Astyanax mexicanus: one gene and its partners. The protein of the gene in region 4 interacts with the protein of the main gene of each other region in a pairwise test. Links are inferred from orthologs where the notes say so. Each region holds a gene or a part of one and is shown on either strand. Other genes may lie near its edges.

Region 1 (7,145 bases), on a different chromosome or scaffold from region 4:
TTTCAATTACTTTAATGTAGCGCATCATGCAATTAAACAGGATTTTCTAAACTCCCTGTAATTAAATGTTCACTTGGTCACTTTTGGTCACTTGGTTCACTTTATCGATACGATAAAATTTATCATGGTTTATAACGTCCAGCTCTAGCTGGCACATGTAAACCGTGTACACGTGTTAAATTAAAACATGTAGTTTAGAAATTGGGCATTCATTCCTACCACTTTCTCCAGGATGACATCATTGGACTCAACGACCAGATCAAAGCGCTCCTCCAGTCCCGTCAATTTGTTTTTGTCATTTATGTGTGATCTGCAGCCGTGGTGCTTCATCAGCTGACTCATACTGAACAATGCAGAACATTATAAAACAAAATGAGACATCAAAGCAACTGAAAATCATGTAAAAGAGATGCACACATGCACGAATATTTAGGTTGAAGACCCCATATAATATTAGATTTATACCACTGACTGTATTGTCTACCGATCGATCAGTAGGCTGACTGGGACAATTCAGGTTCAGGAACCTCCGTCAGAAGGCTGCCATTACCGGCCCAGACTGTGTTTACCTTGTAAAAATTCAACCTTGTAACTGCTGAGATAACATGACCATGTGGTGCCTGTAAGGGAACCAAAAGATTTTGTCCATGGGTTCTATGTCGGTCAGTAATGAGCCCCACCAGGGACAGTGATGGGACCAGGAGGGGTTAAAGTTGGGCCCCATTTGGATATAACACTGCACGTAAATCCTAGATGGGACCAATGTGAGGTTAAAATAGGATGTAAGAATAGGGCCTATTTTTGAAGCCCAAATGGGTCCCAGAAAACATATGTACAAACCCACTCCGAACACATGTCCCCCTGTAACCTAAGGTCCAACCATGCAATGCCCACATTAGTGGTGGTCTTTTATGGTCTATTAAAAATGAAAATCTGGTTTATACAGCCTATACTGGTGTACTTATTGAAAATATCATCCCAGACAAGCTGAGCGAGGTTACCAGTGACACTTCTTTGGATTAATTATCATTAGTGAATAACAACAATGATAAATATGGTGATAAACTAAAACTAGCTGAAATGCCATTCCTGCTGCATCCAGCCTTGTAGTGTTAGCTGGATATTAGGGATATTACCGTATGTATAGCACAAATGATTACATCTGTGAACACTTCTGAAACTAGGCTTTAAAACCCACAGATCTTTTTATTTTTTACATTTCAGTTGACAGACCAAAACAACACAAACAGACTCTCCAACCAGTAAAGGTAAACTGCTCTCATCAAGAAATGTGTGCTTATAGCACTGCAGGTTTCACTGTTTTTAAAAATATCTGAATGTGTGAGAACAGGCCTGAACCAATACCTTGTCACTGGGGACTATTATTATTTGTCACAGAAAATTTTGCACATATCTGTTACATTTGTTTAATGATATTTGATTTCAAAAACAGGTTTTAGAGCCAAAATGCTCTCAGCACTGTGATGAAACTGTGTCTTAGGCACCATGCAGTGTATTTAGAACCATTTGGTGCAATACAATTATATGAGAGTTTTTACAAGTTCAGAAATATGTGCCTAGAACGGCATGCTTTACTTTTATTACATTTCCTCCTATTTAACCAAGAGGCCATACATATTTTATCTGTAAAAACAACAATCCTAAAGTCTAAGTCCTAGAATTAAACAGAAATAGTGTTCAAATAATTAAATAATCAGTATCATGTTAATAGTACTGCAGAAAGTGAACTGTATGACATTCTGCTGTTTTAAGTATTGACATTTTCACTTTCAAAATTGAATCTATTATTAACTACTATTATTAACATTCTGTTCTAGAAATCAGGTCAGAACCAGTTATATGGAATGTAAAACATTTAATTATAGCGTTTAAAATCGTTGAAATGTTTGGAACAGACCTGTAAACGCAGAAAATACACAAACTCCTTTAAAAGGATATCGCCAGCAATTTTATCTCCAGCACTTCTACTTTGTGTAAATAATGTGAGATGAACGAATAAACACAGATTCACACACTGTCTTGTAGTGATGCTTTCAGGATGTTCACTATATGTCACTTAGAAACTTCATGAGTTGATGTATCCAAATTTTTTATCTAGAGCTGTATTTGGGACTACAGTTTTTTAACTTCTAAAATGTAATTATAGATAAGGACATGTTGTTTTATTTGTAATATGACTAGTCAGAATGTGTTTACAGACCTGCAGTTAGATCTGATGTTACTAATAGTAAAGTTTTTTTTTTTCATAGCTAAGAGCAGAAACGAGAGCGTTTACTAGTATAAAACAGTGCTATATGTGATTTTTGGTTTGTAATACAGTCTATAGCTTGAGTCAATACTATGGCTTTAAGTCAGAATCAGCAATAACAATATTGACAGTAACGTAAGATTAAATAAATACATGTATTTAAGTGTTTAAAGCCCGTCTTCTCTCTCTCACCAGTGTAAGAGTCGCTCTCCCTGAACAGCACAGAAATCCTGAAACCCAGGAAAACTCCTGTAGAAGTCGAACTCGTCTCCGGGCTGAGGGAGACCCCCGGCCGCCTTGGTGGCGGAGACCACCGTGCCCAGTCCGTGCTGTAAAACACCGTTAGAGTTCATTAGAGAACAGGAGCCGCTAACCCGTCAGAGATTTAACAGCGCTAAGCTAACCGGCTAATGAAAACAGAACCACGAGTCCAGCGTTGCTGCTGCTGCAGGAGGAGCTCCACGCTGCCGCTGCGTGTTTATCTCACAGCGCGGAGACCCGCGGCTCTGCTCGTTAACCCCGGGGACCGGAGCGCCTTACTCACCTTCACAAACGCGTCCACATCTCTAAACCCCGGGCAGAACTCCCCGCTCTCCGCCCCCGGGGCTCCGCTGCCGGAGTCACCGCGGGCTCCAGAGCCGCTCTCTCCGCTCACGGGCGCAGCCATCACTACCCAGTACACCCCGCGAGAGCAGCGCGGAGCGGAGCACGCGCAGAGACCCGTCTTCTTCTCGGGAGTCTCAGAGAGACCGCGCGCTCTCTACCGCCACCTGCTGAACCGCACCGCGCTGCTCCCCTGACCCTTGATTAGTTAAAACACTACACATATTTTATATGTTTTTCTTTTTTTCTCCGATTAATAATCGATAGATATAAAAAAAAAGAATCGACACATCAATTATTAAAATGATCAGCAGTGGCCAACATGAAGCTTTAGAAGCATTAACTATAAACCCTCTTTTAGAAAATAGTTCAGTATTTTAATTTCATTTTACAAATGGGACAAAAATGACCCACTTTCATTTTCTATGTATCTTCATGTATGGCTGAGGGTTTCTATTATATATCTCAGCAATAAATGAATTAAGTCATTTAGAATTTAATGGTGTTCTTCTGCTAAAATCCACATTTCTTGTTCTTTGTGCAATACTGTAGGTCTCTCTGAGTTGTATATGATGCTGCACATGAAACTCTTCCTCAACCTCCATTGTCTGCAGTAGCTAGTAAAAGAAAATATTCAGAAAAACAAGTTGATCAGGAAAAGTACCGTGTCTACATCAATCAGTGAATTGGTATTCATGGCCTTGCCCACCTTGGCTCACGACCTCCCACAGGTAGTGCTGATGCTAGGCAGCAATGCAGTCTTATCAAATAGGAGCTAACAGTGCTAGGAACAGCATGGCAGTTTGTTCCTGTGTTATTTGTGCAAATAACACATCAGTGTTATATGCTTTACCCAGTAATTCAGAGCCAAGGAACAAATGGTTAGAATTTGTCTATAGAACACCACCAGCGAAGTACAATTGAGATAGCTAGGTGTATGTTTAAAACAGTTATGTAAACTAGTTAAAATAAAAATTAAAAAATTGTTTTACTTTCTGGACCTGAACTACCCATCTCTGTGTGTAAATATAGGATTTACATAGGATCTCCGGTGGATTTCCCGTTATACAGAGATTCTAAGACTAGGTCAGTGGCTAATCTGCACTTAGCAGAGAATTACACATGTTGTAAAGTAGCATATGACATTGCAAAGACTGTTATTAGTTTTTAAAAAAAATCTTTATTTTAAAACATTTCTAACTGTTGTCTGTCTTGCGGCCAGGTGAATACTAGCCAGCCAGGTTGGATGGAGAGCGTCTGTGAACAGCAATTTTCATGTCTTGCCACAGAAGCTCAGTGGTATTAAGGTGAGGACTTTAACTGGCTTATTCCAACACATCAATATTCTTTCATTTAAATATTCCAATGGAGCTATGGCTGTATGTTTAGAATCACTATCTTGAATCTTCTTCCCAGCCTCAAATCTTTTACAGCCTCCTCCAGGTTTTCTTCCAGGACTGCCCTGTATTTAGCCCCAGCTGATGCTGCCACCACGTTTCACTTTGGGGATGGTGTGTTCAGAATGATGAGCAGTGTTACTTTTCTGCCACACAAATCACTTTATATTTAGGCCAAAAAAGTTGAACTTTTGTCTCACCTGACAACAGAACCTTCTTCCACACGTTTGCTGTTTAGACAGCACTTTTTATGTCTTTCTTTCAGCAGTGGCTTTCTTCTTGCCACTCTTCAATAAAGGCCAGATTTGTGGAGTGCACGACTTACAGTTGTCCCGTCGACAGATTCTTCCACCTCAGCTGTGTGTGTATATATATATATATATATATATATATATATATATATATATATATATATATATTACAATTCCTTTTTACAACGCTTAAAATAAAAGTTGGCACCAAAAATACTGAGCGATTTTGAAGTGTTACTTTGTTTATTTAAAAATGTCTGCGCATTAGTGGGAACAGCTCAGGACTGCAGGAAGAACAGTCTTATAACTGTACCCTCTTCTTTTGCAGCCAAGCCTTTGTAATGGGTACAGCTTGTCATTATGCTGAAAAGTGTACAGATGCATCTGGGGAAATAATCATTTCGAAGGCAGTTCTATGATCTCAATGGATTTTTCTTTGGAAAGATATGAAGAACTTTCAGGTGACCTTTTAAGGATATTTACTTTTTTAAAAGAGCATGGCAACAAAGTTTCCATTTGCATTCATTATTTAAAAATTATATCATGGTCCAACCAGCAGTAAAACTTACTTCACAAATAACCAATTTTCTTTTAAATTAATATGGGTAGTGGGCATCTGTTCACTTTAAATGTATTGTTAGACTCCTTTTATTCTTGATAAACATTTAAAAGGGACATACTATGCAAAACTCACTTTTTGCATGCTTAAGCATTTCCACTTAAGTCTTGACTACCCATATAAACACTCCATATGAAACTCCATTTCTTTTTTATTTTGGTTGAGAAACTCAGACAATAGGATTAGTCAGTAGACTTCGACTGAGGGAGGGATCTGTTCCTGCTGTCTGTGACCAGTCACCTGAGGAGGGAGATGTAAGCACTTTCAAATAATGAGTTTTGTGCTCATATCAAAGTTAAGCATGAACTAGCTTGCTCATGTTTTGCCGTTTAGATTAGCACAATGTAACACTAACAAACACGTTTTGTATAGCACATACACTTCACATAAATTCTAACTTGTGTAAAAATAGATACAACATGTCTTTTAAATATAGAAAGTCTGATGATGCCTAATTCCTTTGTTATTCATGTGACTGGTTACTTTTTTTCTCTGACTGGTTATTTACACTTTTTCACTTATTTTATTAATGCATGGTTATTATTATGTTATTTATATGATTTTACATGGACTATTTTTTAATTCACAGGATTTTTGTGCATGCATATGTAGACCTGCTCCCACGTACAATAATTCTATCCTGTGCTGCACAATGTAAAGAGACCCACCAGTTCCAAGTTGAAGAAATTACTGCATACATGAAATCAAACAATGGACACATAAAGAGCTCAAACTCTTTTGAAATCCACTCATAACAGAAATATGACACCCCAGAAAACTCACATCAGGATATTATAAGCACACAGTTACTTACAGTCACATACAAGGCAAAACAACATTCATCACAAGAGGTGTTCAAAAAAGCAACAAAAACAGGCTTTTCTAAAATTTATTGGCAAAGATGTACACCACCTTCAATCAAGTATTCTGCTCCACTTTGTGCAGAATTCTATGTATAACATTATTAAATTAATAAAAGTCAGACATACTTTAAAATGTCTTTTCATGCAACAGATCTCTTTTCTTAAGCGTATTCAGCGGACTCAAACATGGCAGCGGTAGAACATAGAGAATCAGCAAAGAACAAAGACAGCAAAACAAAGCTTGAGTGAAGCTCTACCAAAACGGACACCTGAGGAAAGAAAAAAGAAGAAACAATTATTATTGATAAAATTAATTCATTATTAATCACTGAGTGACCCATATAAATAGTACATAAGTACATAATTACATACATCATTTACTCAGGTTAAATTGGACAAATGTCCTTCTAAAACGTGTTTTTGAGGATGGACAACTACATACCATCCAATGTAACATTGGCACAGGTTCTCGTGTGATGTGGCTTGCTTGATCAGCAGCTCCACTTGGGTTGGGACATCCAGTGTCTCATCATGGGAGAAGTCCCGTCCTAGAATGAGAAATAACAAGAGGTCCAGTGTGACTGAGGTGAAGCAGCATTCTGAGGGTTTACAGCGCTCCCTGGTGGGGAAGCTTGTGAAGTTGGTGAGTGTTTCAGACAGTATCTGAATGAGTGTAGTAATAATTAAGGGTGTCAATCGATTAAGAAATTGAATCTGATTAATCACAACAAAATTCTGTGATTAAATACGAATAATCACATTTGTTTTTCTTCAGACGTACATTTTTATAGTGGATAATTAAATGTAAATAAAACGCAATTACTGTATATTAGTGGTGTCAATTAAAATAATAGTATATACTTGTATGTTTGAGGGGGGATTAAAATCAACGTAGGGTGCTGGAATAAAGAATGCATGATAAATTGGATTCTAAAATTGGTTGTGAGGATTTCTGAGTTCTAACTTGATGCTTCTAATTTGATGAGGATAAAAATCTAAGGGATGAGGAGCAGGAGGGCAGGAAAGCACCTGTCTGTGTGTGTGTTCATGTGTGTGTGTGCAGAGAGAGAAAGAGAGAGATCTCTAACCGGGTCGGAGCTGGAAGTCTGAACTGGAGTGTTACTGCTGGACACCGTAAGAGCA
Region 2 (7,553 bases), on a different chromosome or scaffold from region 4:
GATCAGATATCTTGAGATGCATTTTAGAGTTTGCATTTATATAAAAATATTGCCGTCTGAGACGTTAATCTTCAGTGAACATCATCCGAACCAGGTCTGCTTTGAAACACTGTTCCTCCACCAGCTTCTGTGGCTGCAAATTACACGATACCATACACCAATCATTAATAATGTAGCGTTAGTTTCATGTAGACACACCACAGCGGCAAAACAAAAACTTTAATTAGACTTTAGCCAAACATTAGATCCCAATAAAATTAAATATGATAGATTTTTTATTGGAGTATCACAGAAAACAATAAAAATACATTAACAGATCATTACCGTGCCATAGCGCAGCAGAGTTGGGACCCCAGTGAGTTTGAGAGTTTTCTTAAACTCATTGTTTGGGTCCTTCCAGCTGAAAAACAGAAGAAGTCAGTGACTCAAAACAGTGTTCAATTTTTGTTTTCAGAGTTCTTTGTTTTAATTGCAATTACAGTTGCCAACAAATTTTAATATTAAACCAGAGTAAACATAAAAAGCACTTATTTTTACTTTTAATTATTAAAGGAAAAAACTATCCAAACCAATCTAGCCCTGTGTGAAAAAGTATTTGCCTCCTAAACCCAATAACCTTTGGATTATCAAAAAACTTCAATATCAGACAAAGATTGAACTTTAATATGAGAAAAATGGTTGTGCTACCAAGGGTGACACAACCATTTTTCTCATATTAAAGTTCAATCTTTGTCTGATATTGAAGTTTTTTGATAATCCAAAGAAAATGGCAAAAAAAAATCAAAGGGGCAAATACTTTTTACACCAATGTATACTGTGCAACCAAATTGGCAAACTGGGTAAATAAAGGGTAAATAAATTAAAAAAAGTGTGCACTATTCATTAAACTTCATTAAAAGGATTGAATTCACAACAACACAAACAAGAACACCTACTAAGGCCGATCTCCCACTTGGCAGTAAATGAAGACGGAACCTTCAGGAAGATGATTCATCTCCCCACGGACCACTGGCTCAGCTGAAGCAAAGAAGAAAAGAAAATAAGTGGAACTACACTCATCTTCTGCGTCTGAAGTGCTTCACAATGATGCATGGAAGATTTCTCTTTTTCTGTTTAGCTTTAAACAGGATCTCTCATAATCTTTAACCTGCTTGTAGACACAGGTCCTGTTTACAGCCGGGGGTCAAAGTGTCAAAACATTCAGAGTGGATGGTGGTTCAAAATAATTTGAGGTTTTATAATGATGTGCTTTAATATTCATTATAAATGGCCTTCTGCTGTCCCACAAAAAATTTTAAAGTAGAAGGGAAAAAACGCTGTAACATTAAGCAGAAATTTAAGTAATTTTGGAGCATTTCTATTGGTTAAATCATCGTAAAATTGCTTGACTTTAAAATAGATTTTACATAAAAGCATAAACTCAAGGCTGATATATAGGGGGGGGGGGGGGGGGGTGAATGGGTTTCAGTTTTGCAAGTGTCAATTTACTGTCAGATGGGATACCAGTATTACCACACGCTTCATGCCTGATCCTGTTTAAAGCTCGGCTTGAGACAGCAATGAAAAATACTGATACAGATAACTACTGTACTACGAGACTAGCTCGCAATATCTGACTTCCACAAAACATAATAATTCAATAAGTGATATAATGTTATAATATAGTGGCAAAATGTATTACATGAGTCATATGAACCCTATATTTTAATAGTCATGTACATTATTGAAGTTATAATTGTAGAAAAGCACATACACTTCTTATATAATTAGTATATTATATTAACAGTATCAATCAAACGTTTGGACACATGTTCTCATTCAATGTTTTAACAATGTAAATGAAGAGTGAAGTGACCCAGACTATAAAGGAACATATAAGGAATTAGGATTTAGGTGTTCTCATCTGGGGTGCTAATAACTATGCAGTGTTTCTTTCCTAGGGCGGTCCTTATGAGAGCCAGTTTCATCATTATAACATTTTTGTAGGTCTTTGCGACTGCACTTGAGAATTCTTCCTTTACTTTGTTAAGTAGTTCTTGCCATAATATGAAACTTTGGACTATCTTTATATAACACAGTTGACCAACACCAGCAGATGACATGGCTCTCCAAGTCATCATTAACCATCAGTATATTTTTCATTTTATTTGGAAGAGACACACAGTCCAAGCTTCTTGAGGTCTAGTGTGAAGTTTCCATAATCAGTGATGGTTTGGAGAGTCATGTCATCTGCTGGTGATGATCCACTGTATTATATCAAGTCCAAAGTCAGTGCAGTGCTTTTCCAGACAATCTTACAGCACTTCATGCTTCTCTCTTCTGACAACTTTTATGGAGATGCAGATTTCATTTTCCAGCAGGACTTGGCCTACACTGCCAAAAGTTTGATCTTATATAATATTCTAATTTACACTGATTTTTGAGGTTTTATTGGCTGTAATCTCAGTCTGTGTGTAAGTTAATACATCTTTATAATATATAAGTTTCACATTTTGAACTGAATTACTGAAATGATAATAGATACACTTGTATATGTTCACAGAATGAGCCAATGATAATAGTATTATTAGCTTAGATAGATATTTAAATGATAAGCCCACCTTTAACACAGTCAGGGCACCAGCTCTGCCCCTGCTGATCTTTGTCTCCGCTGAAATAAGCGAATATATCTTTTCCTGCTCGGTCAGACACAGTTTTACAGAACTCCTCATACCCGCGGACTTTCACCTCCTCATACTGAGCCATACTTCCCTTCTGTACCTCCAGCAGATCCTGCAGAACCACAGATCCAGCTATTAAACTGCACTATTACAGATCAGCACAGCCCTGCAGCACCGAGCTCATACTCACCTCAGCTCCCCGGAAAAAAATCTCTTATAATAAAATATAGAATATAATAATAAAAGTCCCGTTTTCTGCTCCGCTCCTCTCTCCACTCACATGCGCCAAACCGCAGCTCCGCGTCTGAGCCCTCTCAGCACCCGTACTACCTCACTCGGCAAACAGGTCCAATCAGAACACCGCTCCCCGGGACACTCTCTGATCTACAGGTCCAATCAGAGCACCGCTCCCGGGGACACTCTCTGATCTACAGGTCCAATCAGCTTACCGCTCCCGGGAACACTCTCTGATCTACAGGACCTTTTAATTAAGTGGTTTGTTGATTATTACTAAAGTACGGAGCCCGGGAGGGGCCGTGGATAAAAAAAACAATTAAATCGAGTGAACGATGTAGCAGTTCGTGCTCACGTTTTCTTTAATTCGAGTGAACGATTTGCAATTCGTGCTCACGATTTCTTTAATTCGTGCTCACGATTTCTGTAATTCGTGCGCACGATTTCTGTAATTCGAGTGAACGATTTCTGTAATTCGTGCTCACGTTTTTATGCAATAAGACAATAAGCTCGGAGGGAAAGGAGCATTTTCTCTCTTGATCTGTTACAGGGGTGCAGTAATGATAATCAGTTATCTACCTTTATAACCTGCTGTTATTAATGCACTAGTGTTACAGTTAGATGTACAGTACAGTGAGCAGATTTTGCCTGGTGGTGGAATCTCTACAGCGCGTGGGGGAGAGCCGTCCGCGGCATCGGTTCCCCCGCCGCCAGACACCTGCCGCGCGCGCAGGTCTTCACGGAGCTTATTTACCAACAATGTAGACAAATACAGTCAATTCCAGTCATGAATAAAGGAAACAAACATTTTACTGATGCAGGACAACTGTGTGTTATTAAAACCAGATCAAAACAAAGTTATAATGCAATGTGCAAATGTGTTTATTAATTTCTAAATAACATTCAGCCAGCCTCCAAGGAAATGCACACCTTCTTAAATCTGGTTACATCATTATTACTTTTATGATAGATTTAATCTATATTTTAATAATTTGTATAATAAATAAACACATAATTCAGAAAATATACATTTAAGAAGTTTATAATTATTATATTTTTTTTATTTGAAGCTTGTGGCATGTTTCTGGGCAGGACACTGTGATTTGAGAATAAGCAGATATTCAGGACATTTCATCAGATATAGAAACTTAATTATTTTAGGAAACATATTGGAATAAATTATCAAATTGATCCAAATTATTATATGAAATGCCTATTTACTAAATATCTTAATACATTGTATTAATAGTATTTTAGACCAGCTATTTTGATTTTATATAGTGTTACATATTTAAAGCAGCTCTTATATGAGCCATTCATAGACAACTGTCACACCTTGCATTAATTTTGTATTATCTTTATTAACTTTTACAGTGTACATTTGGACCTAAGTCTTATAGCTGTATATTTATATAATTATACTTCTTTACGTTATACTATTGTTGAAAATAAGAAATTATAAACAGTTCCACATTGCATTATAACTTTGTTTTGATCTGGTTTTAATAACACACAGTTACCCTGCATTAGTAATGTTTGTTTCCTTTAATCATGACTGGAATTGACTATATTTGTCTATATTGTTGGTAAATAAGCTCCGTGAAGACCTGCGCTCGCGGCCAGGGAACCCGTGCCGCGGACGGCTCTCCCCCACGCGCTGTAGAGATTCCACCACCAGGCAAAATCTGCTCACTGTACTGTACATCTAACTGTAACACTAGTGCATTAATATCAGCAGGTTATAAAGGTAGATAACTGATTATCATCACTGCACCCCTGTAACAGATCAAGAGAGAAAATGCTCCTTTCCCTCCCAGCTTATTGTCTTATTGCATAAAAACGTGAGCACGAATTACAGAAATCGTTCACTCGAATTACAGAAATCGTGCGCACGAATTACAGAAATCGTGAGCACGAATTAAAGAAATCGTGAGCACGAATTGCAAATCGTTCACTCGAATTAAAGAAAACGTGAGCACGAACTGCTACATCGTTCACTCGATTTAATTGTTTTTTTTATCCACGGCCCCTCCCGGGCTCCGTACTAAAGTAATCCAAACTGTGAAGAAAAACATGCGAAATTATTTAGTACACAAAAAAGTGTTAAACACACCAGAATATTTACAATGTAGGAAAAAAAAAAACATTTTCTAGAGAAGTGGTTAACATTTTGAACCTCTAATAAAATAACTGAAACTGACAAAGGAAAATTGTAATTAATATAAAATACTCATCCTGATTCTAACAGCCTTAGATAAACTTTAATCAAGTCTTATCAGACTTATCTGTATTATAAACAGGCCTGTGTTATTTGCACTACGGTTGTGTTTACTCATATTTTAAAGCTCCAGAGGCAGACGAGTTCACCAGGGATCACCAGGGGAATGGTGAGCAGTTAAAGACAGAGAGGATGTGACTCTCCCACTGTGAGCTTGACTGGAGCTCTGCTCTGCTCCTGTGAATCCCTGTGGCTCAAGATAATCAACAAAACCTGTAGAAACATGCCAGGATCTCAAACACACACACACACATGTTTTTAAAGATGCCTAATTTCCTTCCATTTATTTTTTATCAATTTAGCTAGGCCGATTGTCCCACCCATCACATGTGACACCAGGAGGGTAAAGACTAGCACATGCCTCCTCTGACATGGGAAGTCATCCACCGGCTCTTTTCAAACTGCTGCTGATGCCGAGTAGCCAGCATGTTTGGAGGAAAGCACAGAGACTCGGTTCTGGTACATCAGCTCTGTATTTTGATGAGTGGAAAAAGCGCCATGTAGCCACCCAGAGAGAGCAAGGCCAATTGTGCTCACTCAGGGCTCCGGCAGCTGATGGCAAGCTGCATGTCCAGGATTCAAACAAGCGATCTCCCGATCATAATAATAAAAATAATAATAACAATAATAATAATAATAATAATAATATGACAAAATTAGTTATAATAATAATAATAATAATAATAATAATAATAATTATTATTATTATTACTATTATTATTATTATTACTATTAACACATTTAAAAGCTTTATTTTATGAACTTTTTATGTACTTCTCCCATCGTTACGATAGCAAAGACACACTGACACTCCTTAAATCAAGCTGCACAGTTTGTGTATTTTATTTAATTTGCACAACGAAACACCACAGAATATACAGAACATCACTTAAAATAATATGAATTAAAATGTTTAAAACATTTAGTTAAGAAAGCATCCATGTCACAGATTCTGCAAGGAAAGACCAATCAGGTGTGACAAGTCTGTTTATCATCAGGAGTCGACTCCCTTAGTTCACTTCAAAGAGTCGATTCTTAGAGCCGGATCGTATGCGACCGGCCCATCACTGCTACTGACACTCAGCACAGACTCACAGCAGAGACATGGCTGTGGACCTCAGGGCTGTGCTGCTCTCTGCCTTCGACTATAAGACGGAGAAATATGTTATTGCTAAGAATAAGAAAGTGGGAATTCTGTACAGAGTGATTCAGCTCTCTCTGCTGGGATATATCATCGGGTAAGATCAGCTGGAGTTATCTATAGCCTGTGATAGAGCTGTGTGTGTGTGTGTGTGGTAAAATTAAATATATATTTACATTACAATTGTATAATACAGTTCTGGATCTTTATTATCTTATTTACAATTGCTTACGTACAGCATACCAAAATGAAATACCTCTAATGTGCTCTAGGTGGTTGCTAAGTGGGTGCTGTGCTGTTGTTGTGGTTTACCAGGTGGTTGTTAAGCCGTTGTTAATATGAGTTAGATTATGTAAATAAGCAAAATTGGCTGTTTATATTCATACTATATCAAATAAAAAAAAGAATGTTGCCTTTGGGCACCATCATGTAGATCACTTTTGTTTTGACCATCCCAAAAAAAAAAGAATTATTGATTTAAATAATCTACTTATTATCAATAAACAGGTTAAACAGTGATTCCAAACTGTGTTCACAACTGTGTGTGTGTGTAGCTGGGTGTTCCTGACGAAGAAAGGCTACCAGGAGACTGAGGAATCTATTCAGAGTTCAGTCATCACCAAAGTTAAAGGGGTTTTACTCACCAACTCCTCAGGAACTGGACCTCGACTCTGGGGGCCAGAGGACTACGTAATCCCACAGCAGGTGAGAGCTGGTCTGAGGATATGTTCCTCCTTTACCAGTCACATCATCAGCTCATAATTATAACGTTGTATTACAGATGGAAACATTTCTATTTATTATAAACATTAAAAACTGTACACTGTATTTTTCCATTTCTGCAGGGAGAAGATGTGCTTTTTATAACAACCAATTTCATAGAAACGCCAAATCAGAAATTAGGCTATTGTGCTGAGGTACGACCAAACAATCCCTACAACAGTTAAGTTTTTATATTCATTTACTATTTCATTTTATATACCAGTACTTATTTTATTACACTCTGAACAGTACTCTCAATACTCTGGTTCATTTTGTATTGTGCTTAAACTCTGTCCACTAGAGGGCAGTGTTGTACTCTGTGTTTTGACCCCACTGTTCTGATTGGATATAAAGTTAAATTCTTTTTTTTTTTTTGGATGTTTTGTATATGAGGGAAAGTTTTTTGTATATTTTCTCTTGCTTAACGTTACACAATATATCAATATATTGGATCATAACCCCTGTTAGTTTCTTTCAA
Region 3 (7,576 bases), on a different chromosome or scaffold from region 4:
TAACTATGATATATGGTATCACTGGAGATCAGGTACTCCATAATGGAAATTCAGTATATGGGGCATTCCTTGACCACAGTGAACAGTAAACAGTGTAAATGCATGTATGACCCATTTACAACACTGTAAATGCTCACAGTTGTGAGGTGTTACATTGTGAATGAAGCTAAATACTGGCCAGTGTGCTCATAGCAACGCAACATGAATTATCAGGGTCTGAGTAAAGCCTGATTGTGGCTGTCGAATGGATGTGACATTCTAAAATTCATTCTGAATTTTCCAAATTAAAAACCTTTGGAATATAATCTAGAGGAAGATGGATGATTACAAGCTTTCAAACCAAGCTGAACTGGCATAAAGTTATCCAAAAGCAGTGCGTAAGACTGGTGGAGGAGAAGATGCCAAGATGCATGAAAATTGTGATTAAAAACCAGGGTTATTCCACCAAATATTGATTTCTGAACTTAAAACTTAAAACCTTATGAATATGAACTTGTTTTCTTTGCATTATTTGAGGTCTGGAAGCTCTGTCTTTTTTATATTTCAGTCATTTCTCATTTTCTGCAAATAAATGATCTTATGATTGACAGGTAGAACCTGGAATGATTCTCCAACTGTCCTACAGGAGTTATAGAGGTGCTGAGTTCTTGTTAACTGCTTTTCATTTACTCTTAGCTCCAAACCTGTCCTAAACCACCTGTGCTGGGTTTTTATGTCAGCTGTTGGTGAGGGCTAAACACTTTTTGTCTACTATCTAACTGCACATGTGTTCCTTCAAACTTTTGACTGTCACTGTGATGCAGTTTCTTAGAAAGGGATAATGCCTTGGGATAAGGCCTTGGGCTACTACACAGCATTTTTAACTAAGATTTTCCATTGAAAGGCAAATATAATCTGCGACTAGGCTTAATCATTGTCCAGAAATCCAAAACCCAAAAGGTTCCAGTGCTGTTACCCTCTCGTGCTGGAGTCTCACCCCTGACAAATATACATGTAAATAAATAATGCTGTACAAACAGAGATATTTATCCTAATAAGTAATCTGACAGTTGTGTTATTGAGAGAGATTATCATATAATGTCCTGGTTTACTGAGTGCTGGACTGGGAGATTCAGCATTGGTCAGCGTGACAATATGACAGCATAACCCTCCTCACCTTGGTTTGAACGCATGGTTCACACACAACAGCCCTTGTGTATGTTCTGCCATAGAGAGAATTATGGGTCAATTAAGCCTCGGAGAGAGAGATGACCATCAACAACCTATGTTCCACCCCCCATCCTGCGAGAAGTTGACCTTTGTGATTTTTCTTGCAAGGAGAGCCGACTCACTTTGTAGGTGTTTGTGTGGGAGCACTTTGTGTGTACTTGGTGTGCGTATTATGGCGCGCTAAATGGTCGCTCGTGTGTAGTGATGCTTGCATGACCCATCCTGTCACTCTGGGGCATATGGAGCCGACCGCCCATTTCCCTCGGGAATTAACACCATGCTGATTTACTACCAGTGAAGGGCAGTAATCACTAAAGGAGGCCAAATTAGTCTCCAATTTCCCCAGTGTGTGTGTGTGTTATGAGTTGGGAGACTAAAAACTGAAGGTCAAGAGAAGGAAAATTGTGTGTGTCTGTGTGTATTCAAATATCTGGACAGAAGATTTCAGGAACAGTCATGAGGCTTTGAGCCATTAGTTTCACAGCCTCATGTAATTTGCCATATTACCTTTTATATACATTTTTTCTACCTGAATCTAACAGCCTAATCCCTGCTAAAATGTACAGCACCCTTCTTTCGAAAATAAGCTCATGTGATGTGTGGTCATTTGCTCTCGTGATGCTGTCCGTGTTTGATTTACAGCCCCATATATTTCATGGTTGTTCTACAGCGAGAACCACTCATCTTCAGTATTAAAACCAATACATCTCAAGGGTGCGATTTTTATCGACGTTTCCCATTACCAGCTCTTCACGTTTATAGAGGAAGCCATAAATACCCAGTCCTGTTTAAAATGTTGATGGTTCTCTCTGGTATGAAGAGATCAATTGTCAAACGTGTTGAGTTAGTATCATAAAGGCAGGTGGGTCAGATGCACTGAGAAATAGGCTCACTAACTTTCAGCAGAGGGCTTGGGTAGCATGCATTAACGTCATATAAGATATGTTTAAGGGACAAAAAGGTCACAGAATCAGTTAAAGCATGCCACATTATTTTATTCAGGTTTAAAATGTAATAGAAATAATATTAGCTAATAGTAACTGTGCACTTTTTTAAATAAAATTAAACATTAAAAGGTTCATCACTAAGTGTCTGACGCCTAGACACTTTCAGAAATATGAAATGTCCATAGACAAAATTGGTTGGAATTTTCATAGTTTTGGTAAAATTCATCTGTGCTTTGCACTGATCTTTTTCGAACAATTTGTCCACGCAGACTATCAGTTAATTATCTGTGCAGGATATCGGCTATAACTACAGGGTTTGTGGTACTTTGTGTTGGGAAGTAGTGCAATTTGTGTCAATGTTGAGGCCTTGGAAAACAGTCTCTCCCATGTCTTCTTCTTCCTCATGAATGTGGGATGAAGTTGATGGTGCAGCTGTGAATCTAGTCTATTTATTTCACATTTTTTCATGTAAAAGTGCATCACATAGACATTAGGAGGGTGCCATATTCAAAAATCTAAAAGGTGATGTGTGACCATTTAATAACAGTGTTAGCATATTAGAGGAGGTCACTAGGAACAGCTCAGTGAGGGACATTCACTCACTAAGACCTTCATCAGTGGAGGCATCCTTGGGAAGAGGCTTAGAAATTTGATGAAAGGCACTTTAAGGGAGAAAAGAAAATACAATATGGTAAGAGTTAGCGCTACCATATTTTTTTCAGATTTTCATATGTAGAAGCAATGCTTAAAAACACCCCAAGCTAACGTTTATGTTTAGAACACACTTACTATTTGCAGGTTAAGCACTGAAATTTAGACAGCCACACATGATGCTTTAAAGATGTGCATGGATTCTACAAGACATGACTGGTCCAGTCTGGTTATATGATGCACAGAGTATGCCTAGCTAAATTGGGAGAAAAATGGGAGAAAATTAGAAATAAAATTAATTAAAAAAAAAAAAATCTTTCACGGAGCCCCTAGGGTGACATCATTAAAAAAAATCGTGGCCATGACTTATTAAGGCATGGAAACAAGATAATTAAGTTGTGGGGACCACTTTATTAACCCTTTATGGCATGATTGTTATCTAAATAAAAATAAATGTGTTTAAAAAAGGTTCCAAAAGAAAAGGAATCTCCTGAAATGTGGTATGTTACGTTTTTTCTTCCCAAAATGATAAATCGTGCCATAAAAGGTTAAGGCTTGGAAACAAGAAAATTAAGTCCTGAAGATAGAAGTCGTCCCTAAGACGACTTACCACATCTTAAAAAGTCATGGCCATTGTGGGAAATAAGTAGCTAAACCATAAGTAAATAATGGGCATGGGCCCTTTACATGTGTATGTATATCCTATAACCATATTGTTAAGGCTAAGCTAAGCTTTTTGTCAGTCAATCTCAGTGCGTGTTACTCAGGCAGTAAACCCTTTCAGGGAGGCGATTAAAGCCGTGTTTTCTCTCGTTTCTATCTGCTGAGCCGCCGGCACAGCTCCAGGACTGCACACGGTAGCCGCCGATTAATCTCCTGCCCGACAAATGCGATCACATTCCTTGACAGACGGGCTGCGCTGAGCGGGGGGGTCGGTAGTAGTGGAGCCCGCAGCCAATCAGCACGTGGGTTAAAAGCTTCCCTGTGAGAGAAGAGCAGAGTTGCCAGGTTCGTGGTTTTCCCGCGAAATTGTGCTTGTTTGAAAATCCAGTCGCAGGTAAAAAAAAAAATTAAGTTGTGGCGGGGTGCGTTTCTTTGGGGCTACTTAAAAAAATTACCGCGGCCGTGGTACCATTGAATTTTTATTTATTTTTGACATTTATTATGCAGCCTTTCCAATTTTAATTTTATTTTTGTCACATATGACTCATGCTTAAGTGAAAAAATAAATTGCAAATGAAGTGATTTCATATTGTTTTTAATTTTGCCATACTATTTTGAGACATAGTATTTAAACAAAAAAAATTTGCATTTTCATTTTAATGTTTTCGTTTCAGTTTTATTTTTTTCCAGGATTTACCTCCAATACATAACGACATAAAGGACAGCATTAAAAGGAGAGCGGGAGAAAAAGAAAGAGTAAAAAAAAAGAGGATTCAGGAGGGGCAAGGAATAAAAAGTATTTTTTTGTGCTAATTATGTTAACTATTAAATGTTCTTGACTGAGATATAAAATTGTTATAAAAGAAATAATAAAACACTAACGTTACAATATTATTCATCACTTTAAGATAAGTAGCAATACTGGTAATACATTTCTTATAAACAAAATATTAAGTCGTACACTCATAGTTGTTTTGCCATTTGCTTCGAACGTGTGACAGACATATTTTGGGCTAATTTAAGCTTTTGAAGGGCGGGTTTTAGAATGACTTTGGGCTGGATATTTTTGTTGAACCTGGCAACCCTGCTTCCCTGTGAGAGGAGAGAAACACAGACAGGCAGCAGGCAGGCTGATTCTGTCCTCAGCCCCACACCGCGGCTCATTTTCCCCCCTGAATCGACCTGCTCAGCTCCTCCAGAAGAGTTTTCATGCTTGTGAGAAAACGAGGACATATTACAGGTGCGTAACGCTGTTTTTCCTCAGTGTGAACCGGCTGAAGCCCCTGAGATCAGGGCTATTCAGCTGCCTGGCTCCTGTTGTGAGAAAAGACTTGCGGTTGGTAGTCCAGGTCCGGAAGTTAAAAATCCGTTACAGGATTTCATTTCTGCTGCATGGACTGCTCAGCTGCAGCAGCGCAGTCCAGGCAGTAGGAGTGAAAGCCTGAAACGGATTTTTACTTTCCGGACCTGGACTACCAACCTCTAGCACAGCCACTATATAAGACTAGATATTCATCATTTCTGTACAACTTGTTCTTTTTTAAATTACAACAGTTTAGCACCTTTATTTTCGCTGTTTTCTTCATATACTAATTCTGAAATGGGAAAAATTGAGCAAAATCTATAAAACCTAGCTAGCTAAGTAGCCATTATTATATAACAGCTTTATTCAGCTAATTGAACAACAGGCTTGATCAAATCTCATAATTTAGGTATCTCAGGTTACCTAGCTAGATTAGTTCATTAGCGTTATATAACATTTGGTGACAGCATAGTGTGATAAATTAGCCTAATAAACCTCATAACTAGGTTAAATCATCTCAGCTATTGAAAAAAAAAAAAATTAAACCAAACACAAACGTTTTGGTGACTGCTGAGTGTCTTTCCAAGGATCAACACATCCAAACAAAATACTACTGGTCTAGTGTCAATGAACTATTGTGAAATTATCAACTAATAATATAAAAAAGGTAGTAGCCAGTTAATTTATCAGCTAGCTAGCTTAGCCAGTGACCAAAAAAAATAAGAGACCACTTTCTGAACCAGTTTCTCTGATTTTACTATTTATAGGTACATGTTTGAGAAAATGAGTTGTCGTTTTATTCTACAAACTACGGACAACATTTCTTTCAAATTCCAAATAAACATATTGTCATTTAGAGCATTTATTTGCAGAAAATGAGAAATGGCTGAAATAACAAAAAGGATGCAGAGCTTTCAGACCTCAAATAATACAAAGAAAACAAGTTTATATTCATAAAGTTTTGAGAGTTCAGAAATCAATATTCGGTTGGATAACGCTGGTTTTTAATCACAGTTTTTATGCATCTTGGCATGTTCTCCTCCACCAGTCTTACAAACTGCTTTTGGATAACTTTATGCCACTTCTGGTGCAAAAATTCAAGAAGTTCAGTTTGGTTTGATGGCTTGTGATCATCCATCTTCCTCTTGATTATATTCCACAGGTTTTCAGTTTGGTAAAATCAAAGAAACTCCTAATTTTAAGTGTTCTCTTTTTATATCTGTATGATAGGCAGGTGTTTCTGTACTGAGGAGTGTTTATTTTTGCAGGTTGGTGGAGGTATGACACTGACGAGGGGCTCCTTTACTTATTCAACTGGAGAAGAGTACAGTGGGGAATGGAAGGAAGGCAAGTTATTACTGTATCTATATTAAAATCATTTTTTGTCTATGTAACTGCCATTTTACTGGCATTCACATTACAGTGGCAGCTGCAACATTGCCTTTTTAAATCTGTTTAATTCTGTATATTTATACAGAATTAATATATCTACTGATTGCTGCAACAATTAGTTGATATAATCAAATGTCCATTGTCGACTAATCATTAATTTGCAGCACAACACACAGTTTACACTCAACTCTGCCTGTGTCTCCAAAAATGCCTAAACACAAAATATTATGTACTTCCTCACTAAATTTCAGCACTGTCTAGATTTAAAGGACAATGTTCTGGACATTTTTAATCCCATGTTTAGTTGTTTCTATCGATTTTAAGCAAAGACAGAGAAATCTTGAAACAGGAGCCGTACTCACTCAAGCGGAGATGGAGAATAGCATGGCAGAAATAATCCTTGACTAATTGACTAAATCGAAAAATAATCGACAGATTAATCGACTATCAAAATAATCATTAGTTGCAGCCCTACTCATTACTAAGGCTAGGTTTCTCCGATTAAATAATCCAACATCCATAGAAAACATATTGATCTATGAATTTTGCCTATTTTGGAAAAAAAATGTCTGGTGTGTGCTCTTATTACTAAGGCACTTATCCTTGTGCAGTTTGTGCAGCATTCTCATACATGGGATACATGTAATTATGCTGTTATTTATGTAAATAATGATGTTGGATTATAAAAGTATGTATTTAGAAGTTGCAAAGTTTTTGTGATGTTATCATATTAATACGGTGAGGACACCTAATTGGAATTAGCAATTTAACTGATACGTAATAGTTAAATGTAGGGCTGCAGCTATCGATTATTTTAGTAATCAAGTACTATACTGAAAAATCGATTCAATTAATCGAGTAATCGGATAAACCATATTTGCTTGCCCAAAAAGCAATTTAAAAAAGTGAAACAAGAAAGAAATTTCATTTAATAATGAATGACCAGTTGGTTTAATTTTTAAATTCACAACATACATTTCCACATTGCAAACACAAATAGAAATAAATAAAACGCAAAATAGACATAAAACTTTTAATACTTACATTTATTGTAAGTATTAAATATAGGGAATAAATCAATAATAGAGGCATAAACATGGATTGGATAAGCTCGCTGCATTCTTTTCCCACAAAGTCAGTGGACAGGGGATGTTTTCATATTAAGCAACACTGATGGAAATCTTATTGATTTGTTATAAGTTAAGTTTACCTGCTCTCTTCACTCCAAAAACCTCCGTCTTCTCCACCTGCGTCCTGTGCGTGGGTGACGTAACGCTTAGCGCTTTTTCACATTAAAAGTCAGCGCTAAATTCCGTGCTTTGAGTTTTAAAATTAAATAAACGATTCCTCGAGGCACAGAAAATTAATCAATCAATTTTTTAAATCAAGTTACTCGACTTACTCGAGTAAT
Region 4 (7,118 bases):
CTTACATTTACAGTGAATGTGAACTGTCAAAAGAGCCAAATTCAGTCTGAGCAGAAAATCTGATTTCAGCAGTGTGGCTTATAATGTGAACGTAGCCTTAGCACACAGAGTAAACATCCACTGTGCAGGCTAGAAAAAGTAAGTGAACCTCTGTGTTAATTGGTAATGACTTCACTGCTGATGTTCCACCTTCCCTTTAAGTTTTAGTGTTTTGCATCCAAAAACTTTCTCCAAAACTCACTGGGAAGGGGTGCCAAGTGGTCCAGCGGTCTAAAGCGCTGCCACTATGAGCGGGAGGTCGTGGGTTCGAACCCCCACTCATGCAGCTTTACCATCAAGCTGCCGGCGCTGAGAGGGAGCACAATTGGCCCTGCTCCCTCCGGGTGGGTACAGTACAGTAGATGGCGCTCTCTCCCCACATCACTCCTAGGGTGATGTCTGCAGCACAGGGCGTCTGTGAGCTGATGTATCAGATCCGAGTCGCTGTGCTTTCCTCCGAGTGTTAGCGCTGTGATGCTGCTCGTTAATGCTACATCATCAGCAGCAGCTCGAAAAGAAGCGGTGTCTGACTTCACATGTATCAGAGGAAGCATGTGTTAGTCTTCACCCTCCTGGTGTGTTGGGTCATCACTAGTGATAGGGGGGAGTCCTAATGAGTGGGTTGGGTAATTGGCCGCGTAAATTGGGGAGAAAATGGTGTCATAAAACCATTAGTATAGTTTTTAACCTTCACAAAGCTTTAAGAATCTGACCACAAAGTCCCAATTAGAGTCACTGACACAAAGAAACTCATCTCACCCATCAATGACGTCAGCGATGAACTGGCTGGCGGCCTGCGCCTGCTCTCCTGGTGGCCCCGGCCGAAATCTGGACGAGCAGAGTGGAGGCAGGTCTACATTCGGAACTGAGACACGAAAGAGCCAGTCAGACTTCAGTTACCCTCACAGACGATTGCCTTTAATAATTATTATAACAACTCACTCAAACATACCAATATATCCTTTATCAGGAGCATCTGAGGGCGGCGCGGCTAGTTCCTGTTTTAAAACATGAAGTTTTGAAGTGTTTGTTATGTTTATTTGTGATCAATATGTGAGTATTTGAGGGAGTGCGGGATGCTGCTTACTGCTTTTATGCCACAGATCACTGTAGTGTTTCCAATTTTCACCATTGCTGAACCATCAGCTGTTCCAATCGAACCTGCATATAAAGGATTTTCAGGATGTAAAGTTAAGATCTTACATTCATCACAACCTTTTCACACATAAATGTATATTATTGAGGTTTTAAGTGATTGAACCACACAGTAGCAAATAACTGAAGTGTAATAAAATTAATACATAGTTTTTAAAATTTTAATCAAAAAGACATCTGCAAAAAAGTGACATGCAAGTATTCAGCCCCCCCTATCAATACTTAGTGGAGCCACCACCTTTCTTTTGGGCATGTCTTGACCAGCTTTGAGCTTTGCACATCTAGAGACTGAGATTTTTACCCATTTTTCTTTGTAAAACAGCTGAAGATCAGTCAGGTTGGATGAAAAGCGTTTGTGAACAGCAGTATTTAGGTCAGGACTTTGACTGGGCCATTCTAACACATGAATATTCTTTGATTTAAATAATTCCACTGTAGCTCTGGCTGTATGTTTGGGGTCATTGTCTTGCTGGAAGGTGAATCTCCTTTATAGTCTCTCTTCAGTCTATCATTTAAAATCTTAATAAAAAAAAGTGTGTAGTTTTACGGTGAAATGTAAAAAAGTTCAAGGGGTATGAATACTTTTGCAATCCACTTTATACACCAAAACAGAATACAAGTCATACATTTATAACAATGCGCAACAGCTTACCTATATTTAACGTTGTGGGTCTGAACTCTCCCAGTTCTCTGCCATCTGGCCTGCAGTTTTCTTTCTATATGAAGAGAAGCAGGACTGTGTGAATCTACAGCGAAATACACCACATCTCCAAAAGTAAAGTACTGATAAAATCAGTATTTTATCTTAATCAATATCTAACATGATCACTATGTTTTCCAGTTTTATTTTATGATATTTGGTTAATTCTTCTGAGTGACTCATATGGAACCATGGTTAAAACTTTATGGTCTGACAAGACCTCTTCTCTGAATGAAAAGTAAACATTTAAATCAGTATTGTATGGGCTATCTGAGATATAAATGGTATAGGAGATATATGGCATCTGTTTTAAGATTAGAGCAGTCTCCTCAAAAAAGTTAAGACCAGTCATCATCCTAGGTCAGGGTGATCATAGTGATGTACACCACTTAAGGCATAACGATTTGGCCAGAACAAACTGAAGTTTAGTCTGGGGGAGGCTGAGATATATTGACTGTAATGTGAACGAATCTGTTCCTGAAACGTCTCACATGCTGCACATTGTTATGTCTGAATGCAATCAATTCCTCACAGCTATGTTCCTGTTTACTGCAACCTCAGGCCTTTTTTAGTAGAGTAGAGTCGGTTTAGTACAGCAAACTGTGGACAGATCTTTATTAATAACCTCTGATTTAAAAAGAAAACTGGACGTGTCTACACTGGATCATGTCTTGTAGAGTACATGTAGATGTACTGAAGTAAATAAAGTAGTTAAACTTACCAAGAAGCTCCTGTGATACTCCAGAGGCTCTGCAGTTCTGATAAAACACATTAAATTTATTTAGACAGTTTTATAATTAACACTATCTGGTTTATTTAGTAAAAGAGCAGTACAATAACAAGTACAGGGACAGATTAGCTCGTGTACAACATTAAGAGAGATCAGTCAGCTGTGATACTCCAGATATACTCTCTATATATTTAGCCTAAGCTGTAATATTAACAGAAATTCAGCACTCTGCTGATATAACTATATAAATAAAGCACGCCGCTGCTGCTGATATAACTGTAAGTTCCAGTCCGCTCCACTTACTTGAACCCCGCCGCCATGATGCTGAGGAAAACACCACGTGAAGAGGGCGGATGACGTCAGAAGAAGGGGACGCGGGTCTTCCAGTCCAGCAGGGGGCGCGCTGAGAATCCTCCCCCGGACCGGGGCCGGTCTGGAGGCGTGTGCTGTAATCAGAGAGCCTGTAGAGAGGAGAGGGGCCACTTCAGAGTCTCTTCCACAGGGCCCTCTAGAGTGATTCCAAAATTAATGTGTTCATATGGAGCAGCTGAGCAAAATCAGAATTTATCAGAGTTTATCAGTGTTTTTCTTTTAATACTGTTCACGTTTCTCATTTCCTTAACACAAAACCATTTAAACTATTTTCATAGTTCTACCCTATTTTGCAGAACTTGTTTATTCACTAGTTCACTCATCTACTGTTTACGTATCTTTTGCACTGCTAAAGTAATTATACAACTGTCTATTTGCTTTTTCAGTTATCCTCACTTTATGCACTTTATCAACTTGGTGTCACTGTCTATTGTGTTCAACTGCGTTACCTCTACATTTTCAGCTTATATATATATATATTCTCTTTATTTCTCTTCACTAAAGTATGTGACCATTCTTCTAGGTAGACTCCTCCTATGGCTGTGTATGTCTAGAGCATGTTTACAGTGTTTACAGATGTATACTATAATACCCTATTTAAGCAGGTCCCCAAAACTGGGGAGAAGAGAGAGCAGGAACATCAGAATTGAACAACTTCTCTCTTCAGGGCTGGCCTAGCCTTGGACCGCCTTGAAGATATTGTTGATATTGTCTATTACACGTAAGGCAGTGTCTGCGGTGTCTTCTTCCTTAACTTCAAGCATCTTCACAGCAAAGAGACAGTGATAAACGACAAGAGGAGATGGCAGTGTCATCTTCATATCAGAAGACTTCGATGCTCCGGTTCTGCCTTTTACTCTGCTTCCTCGTGCTTTCTGCCTACTAGGGGTGGGTGATATGGCTCTAAAATAATATCACGATATTTCAGGGTATTTTTGCGATAACGATATACTTGGCGATATAGGAAAACTAAAATAATTAATTCATTTCAGGAATATAGTATAATAGTATAACAGTATAATCATAATGTGGCAAAATAAATAATATAGCATAAAATAATATAATGCAGCAAAAATATTGCAGAATATTTAGTGCATGCATATAAACTGCAAACTAAAACAATTATACAATAAATACACCTAAAGCTTCACAGTAAATAATAGACTACTTTTAAGACAGAACAGCCCTATTATCACGATATGCATTTTTAATATCATGATATTTCTGTGTCACGATATATTGTATATGATATAATATTGCCCACCCCTACTGCCTACAATATGATAATAAACCTTTTCACTGCTTTCTGTAATAAATAGCTGCATAACATATAATACATTTACTTTCAGAACTTGAGTTGTAAAATTAGAATAAACTACTTTTAAGTACAAAGAAATGATGCATACTTTAGGACGTCTAACGTTACATAAGTGTGGTGCTTAAAGAACACTTCTACAGTAATTGCTGTAAAAATAATAATAATAATAATAATAATAATTATTATTATACAGTTAAGTTTAAATTTCTTTATGAGAATTACATTGTTATAATTTTTAAACAAGTTTTAGACACTGATACACAGATACAGCTAGTTTTTATCCTTTTAGCTTCACTCACTCCCAGTCATTGAGGACTCGCTCGCGGGCTCCCTCTATCGGTGGGGGGTGATTTCTCCTGTATCATGGCGGTGTGAAGTGCGCATGCTCGGGGTGCAGCAGCTGTGGCGGTGTGCTGTAATGATGATGTGGAGCAGCGGCGGGTCATTTCCGCAGTGCTGTTTCACTGTGAGGTGGAAGAACTTCAGCCATGGCGTTTTAATACCGGTTATAACTCCTGTTCACTCCCCCCTATGAGCGGGCTGTAGTTGCGGGGTGTCTCTGGGCTGTGAGAGGAAGAGGATGATGGTGATGATGATGGATCAGTGTGTGTGTCAGATCCTCCAGGTCGCTGCAGCTCTGCTCCTGCTCCTCTTACTCCTGGTGAGTTTAATGTTTTGGTGTTTCTGTCAAAATTTTACAGAATCTGAGGGCCTGGAGCTCCTCTGCCTGGATCACTGATCTCTATTTTTTACTCTGGCTGAGATATTTATTTATATTTAGTCAATGTCCTGATCTAAACAAATCTTTCTACAATTAAAGTTATGTTTTTTCTCAATCCCCGTTGTAAAGTTGTTGTTTTTAGTCAATTTAGACTGATATAACCTCAGGAAAAAATTAAGAGACCACTTAGAATTGATTTTCTTTAATATTAACAAATTGAAATATATTCCTCTGGAATATAATCAAGAGGAAGATGGATGATCACAAACCATCAAACCACCAAACTGAACTGCTTGTTTGAATTTTGCACCAGGAGTAAAGCAGCATAAAGTTATCCAAAAGCAGTGTGTAAGACTGGTGGAGGATGAGAACATGATGCCAAGATGCATGAAAACTGTTATAAGAAACTAGGGGTTTTCCACAAAAAAAAAAAAAATCTGAACTCTTAAAACTTTATGAATATGAACTTGTTTTCTTTGCATTATTTGAGGTCTGAAAGTTCTGCATCTTTTTTTTGTTTTTTCAGTCATTTCTCATTTTCTGTAAATAAGTGCTCTAAATGAGAATATTTTTATTTGGAATTTGGGAGAAATGTTGTCTGTAGTTTATAGAATAAAACAACAATGTTCATTTTACTCAAACATAAACCTATAAATAGCAAAATCAGAGAAATTGATTCAGAAACTGGAGTGCTCTCTTAATTTTTGCCAGAGCTGTATCTCAGGAGAATGAATCTCACCTTACTGTATTGATGAAGGATCCTCTATTTTTAGTGTAAAGCTAGACAATATATTGATATATTTCTTCTTATCGTATCCACTATAATCATATCGAACTTAAAGAATACAGACCGAACTATCCATTCATTACAGAGTGTGAAAAAGTCTTGTTTGCACTTCAATAGCAAAATCTGCCTCTGCTGATGCAATTACTCTGGTGAAAAATTTACTGGGTGTAGTAAAACATGATAAAAATTTCCAGATGTATGTATTCTGGATGATGGAGAAGTATTGGTGGGACTGTAGGTAAAGTGCAGGGTGTAGAGTGAGTCTGTGGTGAGCAGCAGTGAGAGAGGTGAGATGAGCTGTGATAGGCTGTGGACTGGTACACTTTATTACAGGCTGTTCAGCAGCCTGATGGCCTGGGGGAAGAAGCCGCCTCAGAACTGGCTGTTCCTGGTTTTCATGTTTTCTACTACTGGCAGCGTCTTGGTTTGGTGAAATCCTTTATAATCCTCCAGGAATTCGTCAGACAGTGGCTTTTGTATTAATCCAGAAGATTTGGGAGCTGTACACAGGGATCTGTATGTCCAAATGTTTGAGACGCCCTTTCTAGTAAATATATGCAGCTGCTTTAGGCTGCCACCCTTGCTGACACAGATGTGCAAAAGAGTGAAATGAGGTGGGGTAATTAAATTAAATACATACTGTATTTAATGATGCTTTTGTGACTAAATAAAATCTTTTCTGCGGTTTCTTAAAATCAAATGAAAAGCATTATCTGGAGTTTAGAGACAGTTATTCCAGCAAAAGCAGGGTCATCTCAGATTTAACTACCCTAGATTTCAGAAGAAACCATGGTATACTTATTTTTCATGAAGCTGTTTTAACTGCAGTTCTGTTGGGAACTCAACACCTGTCATTATATTACTGAAGGAACAATACGCTGGCTACTCCACCCATTTCTGGTTATTATTAGGGGAGTTTTATTCAACTCCAGCCCTGCAGCTTAATATAGATCTTGTAATACTTTGCTGAAGCTCTGCTGAAGTGTGTCTGCTGGGTTCAGCTATCTCATTTGTCTCCTCTTCTTTAGGTTATTGTAATTGCCCACGTTACAGCCAGCATGGTGGACCAGACGCGTGCAGAGCAGGAGAAATATTTTCTGACAGCTTCAGGAAACAAGGAGCCATTCCCTAGTCTGTTTGACCCCCATTCAAGAGAGCTGTCTGTAGTAGTGCCGTCCTACAACGAGGAGTCCAGATGTAAGCTGTTTATTACTATATCTTTCTTATCTGTATTTTTTTAGGGGTGTCACGATTTCAATATTTCATTGAAATCGATCGAAATTATGTCATGGTCTC

What was found.
Region 1: the proteins of exosc8 (region 4) and exosc10 interact in binary tests that used the Homo sapiens proteins (3 or more experiments, as listed by UniProt). The link is inferred for Astyanax mexicanus from reciprocal best matches to the Homo sapiens genes EXOSC8 and EXOSC10.
Region 2: the proteins of exosc8 (region 4) and txndc17 interact in binary tests that used the Homo sapiens proteins (3 or more experiments, as listed by UniProt). The two-hybrid records come from large-scale screens. The link is inferred for Astyanax mexicanus from reciprocal best matches to the Homo sapiens genes EXOSC8 and TXNDC17.
Region 3: the proteins of exosc8 (region 4) and morn4 interact in binary tests that used the Homo sapiens proteins (3 or more experiments, as listed by UniProt). The two-hybrid records come from large-scale screens. The link is inferred for Astyanax mexicanus from reciprocal best matches to the Homo sapiens genes EXOSC8 and MORN4.

What each region holds. Positions count from the first base shown.
Region 1 is NC_064419.1:17,930,798-17,937,942, reverse strand, and holds the start of exosc10 (exosome component 10), read right to left. Parts: upstream 3,002-7,145; 5' UTR 2,937-3,001; coding exon 2,814-2,936; intron 2,599-2,813; coding exon 2,462-2,598; intron 344-2,461; coding exon 220-343; intron 1-219. Other genes in the region: serine/threonine-protein kinase mTOR, read right to left, coding at 6,256-6,271, 6,445-6,550. UniProt on the Homo sapiens protein: Catalytic component of the RNA exosome complex which has 3'->5' exoribonuclease activity and participates in a multitude of cellular RNA processing and degradation events.
Region 2 is NC_064425.1:13,474,219-13,481,771, forward strand, and holds the start of txndc17 (thioredoxin domain-containing protein 17), read right to left. Parts: upstream 3,002-7,553; 5' UTR 2,851-3,001; intron 2,773-2,850; 5' UTR 2,746-2,772; coding exon 2,601-2,745; intron 1,018-2,600; coding exon 936-1,017; intron 401-935; coding exon 325-400; intron 134-324; coding exon 65-133; 3' UTR 1-64. Other genes in the region: p2rx8 (purinergic receptor P2X, ligand-gated ion channel, 8), read left to right, coding at 6,277-6,410, 6,868-7,018, 7,159-7,230. UniProt on the Homo sapiens protein: Disulfide reductase. May participate in various redox reactions through the reversible oxidation of its active center dithiol to a disulfide and catalyze dithiol-disulfide exchange reactions. Modulates TNF-alpha signaling and NF-kappa-B activation.
Region 3 is NC_064414.1:31,950,980-31,958,555, forward strand, and holds the start of morn4 (MORN repeat-containing protein 4), read left to right. Parts: upstream 1-4,551; 5' UTR 4,552-4,710; intron 4,711-6,041; 5' UTR 6,042-6,053; coding exon 6,054-6,120; intron 6,121-7,576. UniProt on the Homo sapiens protein: Plays a role in promoting axonal degeneration following neuronal injury by toxic insult or trauma.
Region 4 is NC_064427.1:39,561,299-39,568,416, reverse strand, and holds the start of exosc8 (exosome complex component RRP43), read right to left. Parts: upstream 3,015-7,118; 5' UTR 2,945-3,014; coding exon 2,928-2,944; intron 2,653-2,927; coding exon 2,616-2,652; intron 1,911-2,615; coding exon 1,847-1,910; intron 1,201-1,846; coding exon 1,127-1,200; intron 1,038-1,126; coding exon 992-1,037; intron 905-991; coding exon 799-904; intron 1-798. Other genes in the region: alg5 (dolichyl-phosphate beta-glucosyltransferase), read left to right, coding at 4,895-4,975, 6,851-7,019. UniProt on the Homo sapiens protein: Non-catalytic component of the RNA exosome complex which has 3'->5' exoribonuclease activity and participates in a multitude of cellular RNA processing and degradation events.